Linked DNA regions of Xenopus tropicalis. The protein of the gene in region 1 purifies or fractionates together with the protein of each later gene. This does not show direct contact. Links are inferred from orthologs where the notes say so. Each region holds a gene or a part of one and is shown on either strand. Other genes may lie near its edges.

Region 1 (4,426 bases):
GTACAATGTAGAATGTAGAAGAACAGTAGAATTCTTAATGAATCAGATGGGAGTGAGTGTAAGATTGGCCACAATGGGGATGACTGACGCAGCTTGAATATACTGTTATGGAAAAACAATCCCTGTTCTGTTTATAATAGGTGAGTGCAGAGGATCTCTTCTCTCTGTATATATATATATATATATATATATATATATATATATATATATATATATATATATATATATGTGTGTGTGTGCTCTTCATATATCCCATTTGCCGGACAGGAAAACTTGGTTATTTTTCTTTTGATAGCGCACAGCTGTAAATTATTTCAACTAGAGGAAAGGTATATTTCAATTGTTAGAATTAACTTGTAATAAAATAATAATAGGGTGACTAGCACTTTCAGCCTCACAAGTTCTGCCCATGGAATCATGAAGGTGTAAGCAAGTATAAAATATAAACATTAATTTTGAACAACTGATTGTTTTGTTACTTTTTTTTTTAATATGGTGTGAAATAAAAATGGGGAATTTACCAAAAAAATGCATGCCATAGTACCACCCTACACTAGGCTTGACAATTATTTAACTTCAATAACTCACACTCGAGCTGCTTTCAGTTTCTTCTGTACAATGTAAAGATGAAAGTCTGCTCTCCTCAGACTGCCCTCTAGAATTTGATGTCCGTGATTTTCCTCTGGACCCTCTTCCTCGACCACGTTGAGGAGCCAAACCTCTGCGTGTAAAACTACCTTCTAATTCATCTGAAAGTAAAAGAAAAAAAACAAAACTATTATATATATTATGTACAATGGATTGATATAGTATGTACAAATATGTATGTACTTTCTATAAACTGCCTAATCTCGGCTGGCTGCTATCTCACTTACACCAGACCATATGGCTTGGGAGGAATGCCATAGCCTTTGTAGTTTCTTGTAAAAGATAATAAAGTTACTCTTCATTCTGCCCTTCTCGGCAATCTTTCTCTCTCTGCGCAGAAGGTGGAGTCAGGTTTTCACAGACAGTTAGGGCTAATAAATCCTTTGGGGGGGGGGGGGGGTGTAACCTTCTGCCTAGAACATGTATTAGAGCTCACTCTTTCAAAATAACCGGCTCTGATGGAAACCCTGTTTCTCTGCTTGCAAGGTGTGAGATAGAGTCAGTTATTTTGTTAGCTTTTGTTTGTGCTTGAGTTGGGTATTTAAGTTAGCTCTAGTACATCTGCTAGGAAAGGGAGCCCCCCTAAAAGACATCTTTGACCTACCTGTTGATCAAAATCTGACCCAGACCTCAGCATAAAGAGAGCATGGAGCCTGACAGGTTGCTGAGAGTGAGATACTGTAGAATAACGTATGAATGTATAAATTTTGGATAAAATTTTTGACTAAGAGTTAATTTATCTACATATTTCTGAATTTAAATGAATGCATGCAAAATGGAGTCTATAATGCCAAAATTTACATTTACTCCACACAGAGCTAATACAAAAACACCTAAGCCCAAGAGACATTTGGGAAACAAAAAAACTCACCATCTGAATTTTGCACCTGTTCCTTATGCTTTCTACAAAAAATCCTGTAACAGAAATACTATGTGGTTATTATTTAAGACAGGAATAACAGGGTAAAAATTTAATTTATTGTCTACTGGCAGACATATACCAACAGATGTAGCTCTTCCATCACAGGAGATCCCATTCTCTAAACAGCTGTCACCTCTGAAAATGCAAACTTAAGGGCTCTGGCACACGGGGAGATTAGTCGCCCGCGGCAAAACTCCCTGTTCGCGGGTGACTAATCTCCCCGAGTTGCCTTCCCCTGCCATCCCACCGGCGAACAATGAAGTTGCCGGTGGGATGGCAGACGCGGCGGGGCGATTTTGGGAAATCGCCGAAAAAGACTTGCGAGTCTTTTTCGGCGATTTGCGCGAAATCGCGTCGCCGCATCTGCCATCCATCCGGTGACTTACATGTTCGCCGGTGGGATGGCAGGGGAAGGCAACTCGGGGAGATTAGTCGCCCGCGAACAGGGGAGTTTTGCCGCGGGTGACTAATCTCCCTGTGTGCCATAGCCCTAAAGTAACAGTATACACCTAAAACACCTTTGCTAAAAATTACTGCAATAAACAGAACTTGTATTGAAATTACATATGCCTATTGTCTTAATTTAAAAAAAAGTATTTTTTCTATTTTTGGCCATTATAAAACGTCAATTTGAAAAATGGGCTATTTTCACCTTACCCCCCACCCCCTTTAGGCTGATGCCACACGAGGCGTAGGGCTGAAATTTTCGGCAAGCGGAAAAGCGCTTGCTGAAAATTCAGCCCTACGCCTGCTACTTGTGCCTGCACCCGAATGAATGGGATACGCTCGGGTGCAGGCACATGTAGCCGATATACGCATGAAAACGCGAGAGAATGCAAAGTCTCGCGTTTTCATGCGTATAGCGGCTACTTGTGCCTGCACCCGAGCGTATCCCAATCATTCGGGTGCAGGCACAAGTAGCAGGCGTAGGGCTGAATTTTCGGCAAGCGCTTTTCCGCTTGCTGAAAATTTCAGCCCTACATCTCGTGTGGCATCAGCCTTATAAACAGGGCAATTTTTTCAGAGCTCCCAATCTACCTTTGAACAAACAAAACCCTCCCCTCTATAAGCAGCAGTCTTTGAGCAGGTAATTATCAGGTGCTTCTTGCCGGACTAGTAATCAGTTTTATTAACTCCTCTGATGTTCTGTGGCAGTGCTGTCCAACTTCTACGGTGCCAAGGGCCGGAATTTCTCTAGCATACATGGTGGAGGGCCGCTAATGGAAGCCAGTTTTGACCACTCCCCTTTTTGAAACCACACCCACTTCAAACCACACCTATTTTATCACAATGGTGGTAGCACAGCAAAATCCCAAATGCTTGGTCCTTACTGTGGGGATATCGACCATCATTCATATGTGAAAGAATTATGTCATATTAAGATATACCCTTAAATTCCATATGCCCCCTCCTCCCCTGTGGATAGCAGAGCAACCCCCAGTACATAACTACACACCTTAGGGACCATTTAATGGCTATTTCCAACTGCTAACAAACTCCCACAACAAACCCCTGCCAGGTTCACCTCCCACAAGCAGCATAGGGCAAGCAGAGAATGGCACACACAGGCAGCACTCTGCCTGTCCTATGCTGTCTGTGTGCGCCATACTCTGCCTGTCCTACCCTGCCTGTGTGTGCCATACTGTGCCTTCCCTATGCTACCTCTGTGTGCCATACTCTGCCTGCCCTACCCTGCCTGTGTGTGCCATACTCTGCCTGCCCTATGCTGCCTGTGTGTGCCATACTCTACCTGCCCTACCCTTCCTGTGTGTCCCATACCCTCCCTGACCTATGCTGCCTGTGTGTGCCATACTCTACCTGCCCTATGCTGGCTGTATGTGCCATACTCTACCTGCCCTATGCTGGCTGTATGTGCCATACTCTGCCTACAGTACCTATGTCTGAGGTGTGAAGAAGTGAACAATGGGAGTGATTACAGGCTGAGCCTGAGGTGTGAACACTGCAGGGGGTGAACAATGCAGGTATTAAAAGGTGTGAAAAACACAGGGGATTACATTTTTAAACAATACAGAGGGATTACAGCCTGAATCTGAGGTGTGAGCAATGCAGGGGGCAGTTAATCTCAGTACTGATACCATTTAATGCTTACTCAAAGGTAAGCCATCAAAGCAGCCAGACAGGTGGGGGGCCACACAGAGGGGGGTCGAGGGCCGCATGCGGCCCGCGGGCCGCCAGTTGGACAGCACTGTTCTGTGGGATCAGGAAGCACAGAAAGTGCTAAAGTGAAACTGGCTTCAAAATTCTTGTTTAGTCCACAAATAACAGTAATCATAGATATATCTCAATTAAAGCAAAAAGTATGTTAAGCACAATCCTTATACATTTAGCTTATCCTGAAAAGGGGTATTTACTGTCCCTTTAAGTTGGGCACACATGTTTAGATCCATTTGCATGGCAAACCACAGTATGGTTTTATGTATATAAAAAAAATTAGAGAGAGAGAAGAAGAGAGAGAAAGGCTATTGCCATCTGGTTCATGTGATGGAAATTATTTTGCTCACTGGTTTTAATGCATACAAAATGGTCTGTGACATTATTAAATGTACATGCGTCTCTGTTAGACTAAAGAACCACATAAGATGCCAGCAGACTAATTTTGTGTAGGTTCGACTTGCCTTGAAATTTCTACTGCTACTATCTCCTTGGGTTTTCTGAGTATAAGTCAACTAACAACTGTACTGACAGAACAAGTTATTCCAGGTAATGTACCCCAACTGTAACTTTTAAGTTTTTCAGAAATCATAAGTTCTGCATGCATTCAAAAGCAAAAGGCCTAAGGAAACTGAAGGTGACTTACAATAGTTTTTTTTATATTTTAATAACAGGTATATAATC
Region 2 (5,072 bases), on another chromosome or scaffold:
ATATAATGATGTAAATGTGTTGATTTTGCAGAAGCTGAAATGACAGAAATGACAGTATATATGGGGGTATGTTCACATTCGGGCCCCTACATGCCACATACTTGGGTAAACCTATACATATTGGGCATCAAACTGTTCAGTGGACCCCTGGTGTTCAAATTCAGGGTGTTTTATCTTGGTACCTAATGCTATGTGGGAGATAAGATGCTTCAAATTGGAAGCTTTGAGGGGATTTTTGGAAATGTCATCAAAATTGCTAACTTTAGAAAAGCTGTGCGGCTTGGTACTTTGGAGTAGAAAGACATGGGTACCCATTTTAGATTCGGGGGAATGTGTACTTTCCAAAAATATATGACTTTCTGGGGTGAGCGTACTTTTTACTAGCTTCATCCCACATATAATGATGTAAATGTGTTGATTTTGCAGAAGCTGAAATGACAGAAATGACAGTTCATATGGGGTATGTTCACATTGGGGCCCCTACATGCCACATACTTAGGTAAACCTATACATATTGGGCATCAAACTGTTCAGTGGACCCCAGGCATTTATATTTAGGGTATTTTATTTGGTTACTTTATGACCTGTAGGAGATAAGATACTATAGACTAGAAGCTTTGAAGCGATTTTTAAAAAAAATCACAAATTTTGATAAAAACCAATAACTTTAGGAAAGCATTGCAACTTGATAGTTTGGAGTAGACAGACAGTTGTGCCTATTCTGTATTCCCCAGAATCTGTTCTTTCCAAAAATGTACAATTTTCTGGGATAAACCTTCTGTTAGTGGAATTTTGGCCTTGAAATCCAAAGTATGCAGTTTTTTTGGAGCAGTGCTTTGGGAATTTGGTAGTGTACTGCTGGGAGTTTTTGACCTATACAAGTGAGAAATCTCCATAAAACTATATATATTTGGTATTGGCACGTTCAGGAGACATGGGACTTTCCAAATCAGTTGTATATTCGTGCATAAAATAATTTTTGTTTCTAGTATGTGTGATTATATTATGGAAAATTTGATTTTTTTTGCATTTTTAGACATTTAGAAGCCTATATCTTGTTACAGAATTGGAATTACACAAAAATTCTACCATATTTTGAAAGCTTAGGTTGTTCTGAAAAAAACGATATATTGTTTTCCTTGGTAAACTAAAAGTCCCCCCGAGGAAAGGCCCCTAAAGTGAAACAGTGCAAAATGTTCAAAAACTGTCTGGCAATACAAGTTCCGCTTTGACCAAAATGGCTGGCAGTAAAAGGGTTAAGTGTGTGTGTGTGTGTGTGTGTGTGTGTATGTATATATATATATATATATATACGAGGTTGTTTATTTACATATACTATTACATTTGGTGGTCATTCCGGACTGAGCCCCTTACCGTCTGTACGTACGGGCACTGAGGCCCCTCTGGCTCTATCCCTGCCGCACCAACATGAACCCATCAACCGAACGAGTCAAGACTTTCGCCGATAGGTACGTCACTTCCGCCCTCAAGGTCGCGGCGCTGGGAAGCCGGGCGGAAGTGGCGTCACAGTAAATAGTCTGCGCAGTGCGGGAGCGCTACACGTGGGTATAGCTGGCGGTACGGTGGGAGAGAGGCGCCTTAGGCTATAGTGGGACTGCTGCGCCGAGCCCGGGAAGTGGGAGGTAAGGGGTGCCCGATGCAGCGGGTTTCTGAACTGCAACTCGCACAAACTGTAAGATCTATAGAGAGAGACACTATGGGTGTGCTGCTGTTAGACTAGCACTGTGTGTGTGTGTGTATGGGGGGCTGGGTATGGCTGTGTCAGCTAACCCCATGGCATCAGGGGGATAACGATCCTGTTTCAGCTTCGTTTAAATCCTAACGGGATGGATCAGTTATCTCAGTACCCTGTGCCCCCAGCAAAGCCCCCACACTAGCTCTTCTGGCAAAACTGTGCTGTTAAAGGGCATCTAAATGCAAAATATAAACTGGCCTTACTGACAGTGCTCATCCGAGCTATAGTACATAAACTGGCTTCTGACTCTCTCAAGAGACTGCAGGGAGAGCACAGCTGGGGTTGCTGGCACTTTTTGGATCCAAAAAGCTTGGGAATCAGTGTAAAGCTGCCATTATCTCAGTAACCAGTTTAAACTGGAAAAGTGCTCACAGGACTTTAACTTCATTTTTGGGGTTAAATCTCTTTAAGGCTGTTATTACACCTGGCAGTCTCCCCAAGTAGCCAGTGATCACCGACTCAGGGTATCAGACTGCACTAGTGCTCTCCATTAATGTAAAGCTGCCAATACAAGTAGAGAGATTTCCATATAACTGGTGAACAGCCAAAGGATTTTTCAGTAGCTAGAACACCGGAGAGTTAAAATGAACAGAAAGGTAGGGCAGCGGATTGGCCGTGTGTAAAGGTGCCACTTGGGAAGCAGTATTGCTAGTGCCACACAGGGATGATTCTTGGCCTGTGGAGAAAAAATGAAGCAGCGTGTGGAAGCGGATCTACTTCTCTCAGCCTGACGGATAAATGCTAAATGAGAGAAGTGGACAAACCGCTCCCTGTGTCCAAGTCCTTAGGGTGAAGACACACAGAGCTACTTAGTAGCAGCTACTTCTCACGGCTACACCAGAAAATACTCTGCCATAGACAATACTGAGAATTGCCTCTTGTAAAACGTAGAGACAATTATCAGCATTGTCTATTTTAGTAGCTGCTACTAGTAGCTCCATGTGTCTTCACCCTTAGGGCTCTGGCACACGGGGAGATTAGTCGCCCGCGACAAATCTCCCTGTTCGCGGGCGACTAATCTCCCCGAATTGCCATTGTAAGTCGCCGGTGGGATGGCACACGCTGCGCAGGCGATTTCAGCAAATCGCCGAAGTTGCCTTGCGAGGCATTTTCGGCAATTTGCAGAAATTGTGCCGCCGCGTGTGCCATCCCACCGGCGACTTACATTTTCGCCGGTGGGATGGCAACTGATGGTAACTCGGGGAGATTAGTCGCCTGCGAACAGGGAGATTTGTCGCGGGCAACTAATCTCCCCGTGTGCCAGAGCCCTTAGAAACATCACCTTTGCCACTACCTTATCAGATTAAGCACACTTGATCAGAGATTATCGTCTGCCTGAACTAAACTGATTAAAGCAACAGTAACACCAAAAAATGAAAGTGTATAAAAGTAACTAAAATATAATGTGCTGCTGCCCTGCACTGGTAAAAGTTGTGTGTTTGCTTCAGAAAGTCTACTATAATTTATATAATTAAGCTGCTGTGTAGCCATGGAGGCAGCCATTCAAAGGAGAAAAGGCACAGGCACATAGCAGATAACAGATAAAACACTATTGTATTCTACAGAGCTTATCTGTTATCTGCTATGTAACCTGTGCCTTTTCTCCTTTTGTTCCAGCTTGAATGGCTGCCCCCAGGGCTACACAGCAGCTTACCGTATATACTCGAGTACAAGCCGAGTTTTTTAGCACTAAAAATGTGCTTAAAAAGTGAACCTCGGCTTATACTCGCATATATACGGTATCTGAATTAAATGCATAGCTGCACGCGCCCTAACTTGCGTGCTGACGCGTGGCATCGTTGCCGAGCGGGGGCTTCTCCTTACAGGTATGAGCATTAGGGCACCGATCTGTAGCGCCGCTTTGTGCCATTTCATTATTTTATTGGGGTATTTGCTGAGCTCTCAGGGCACCGATCTGTAGCGCCGCTTTGTGCAAGTTGAAGCTGCTCCAAACTAATGGCGCCTCCAGCCCAACAGCGCAGAGCAAGGGAACGATGTGCGGGCTGAATGCACAATTACAGTTTACATTCTTTTCTGCAGGTAATTCCATTCTTTGCTACAAGGCTCGGCTTATATTGCTTCCAATGAATTATTTTGACATTGGGAATGTCACATCCCTCAGACATAAGGCAGATATTATAGGAGGGGTGCAGGCACTTTCACATAAGGATTTCCTTGTATGCCCCCCATATTGCCAACAAAGGGGCCATAAAGTGGGGTGCAATCCAATGCAAACACCATGGTTCCCACTTTCAATGGAGCCCCACAGAACAGTAGCTGCACGCAGAGGCAGTTGTGCCCTACATACCCATCCATAGGCGAAATGGAACAATATATATAATTGCCCCTTATTGGGGGCAGAACAATCCTATTGGGTTTATTTCATGGTTAAATGATTCCCTATCTTGCTCCCTTCCCATTGTTCTGCTGATTGGCTGCTGGGGGTGAGGGGGGGATATCACTCCAACTTGCAGCGCAGCAGTAAAGTGTGCCCGAGTCTGAGCTTTCAGAAGGAGCCAGCGCTACACATTAGAACTGCTTTCAGGTAACCTATTGTTTCTCCTACTCCCATGTAACTGGGGGAGTCCCAAGCTGGACTTGGATTTCTTACTATTGAGTGCTATTCTGATACCTACTGGGAGCTGCTATCTTGCTCCCTTCTCATTGTTCTGCTGATCGGTTGCTGGGAGGGGGGTGATATCACTTCAACTTGCAGTAGCGGCTGCATTTCCCACCCTATAGGCTTATACTCGAGTCAATAAGTTTTTCCAGTTTTCTTAGGTAAAATTAGGTACCTCGGCTTATATTCGGATCGGCTTATACTCGAGTATATACGGTATTATAAAAATTATAGTAGTGTTACTGTAGCAAACACACCAGTTTTACCAGTGCAGGGCAACAGTGCATTATATTTTTATTACTTTAAAGCTCTTTCATTTTTTGGTGTTACTGTTTCTTTAAAATTGTTAAACCTTGCCTCATTGACCCAGCAATATGCACCGTACTAGGATGTCTATCAATTGTTCCTTGGGTCCACATGTTCCAAAACTCATACAAAGCCTCATATCTGACAATTTTTTTTTTTTACTACTATTGTAATGTTTAATTTTTCTGCAGAACAGGATCATACGTAGATTGGGAACTTGCATCCATGCATTGAAAATAATGGCACCCAGAAATGTAGAATATGTGACACTGGCACTCTGTAACTTGAATGTCAGGTCAATTGTGCAATCGTTGGTCAGTTGGCATTAGTTAGTTGCGTATGGATTAATTGCTAGCTATGGGTCTGCCAGGACATTAACTAGAATGTTTT

Evidence for each region. The genes of interacting proteins can lie anywhere in the genome.
Region 2: the proteins of phf6 (region 1) and lyar purify together in Homo sapiens (affinity purification with mass spectrometry; 3 studies listed by BioGRID and IntAct, with this or other methods). This does not show direct contact. The link is inferred for Xenopus tropicalis from reciprocal best matches to the Homo sapiens genes PHF6 and LYAR.

The regions. Positions count from the first base shown.
Region 1 is NC_030684.2:68,411,760-68,416,185, reverse strand, and holds part of phf6 (PHD finger protein 6), read right to left. Parts: intron 1,564-4,426; coding exon 1,520-1,563; intron 750-1,519; coding exon 589-749; intron 1-588.
Region 2 is NC_030677.2:26,336,801-26,341,872, forward strand, and holds the start of lyar (cell growth-regulating nucleolar protein), read left to right. Parts: upstream 1-1,542; 5' UTR 1,543-1,643; intron 1,644-5,072. UniProt on the Homo sapiens protein: Plays a role in the maintenance of the appropriate processing of 47S/45S pre-rRNA to 32S/30S pre-rRNAs and their subsequent processing to produce 18S and 28S rRNAs. Also acts at the level of transcription regulation.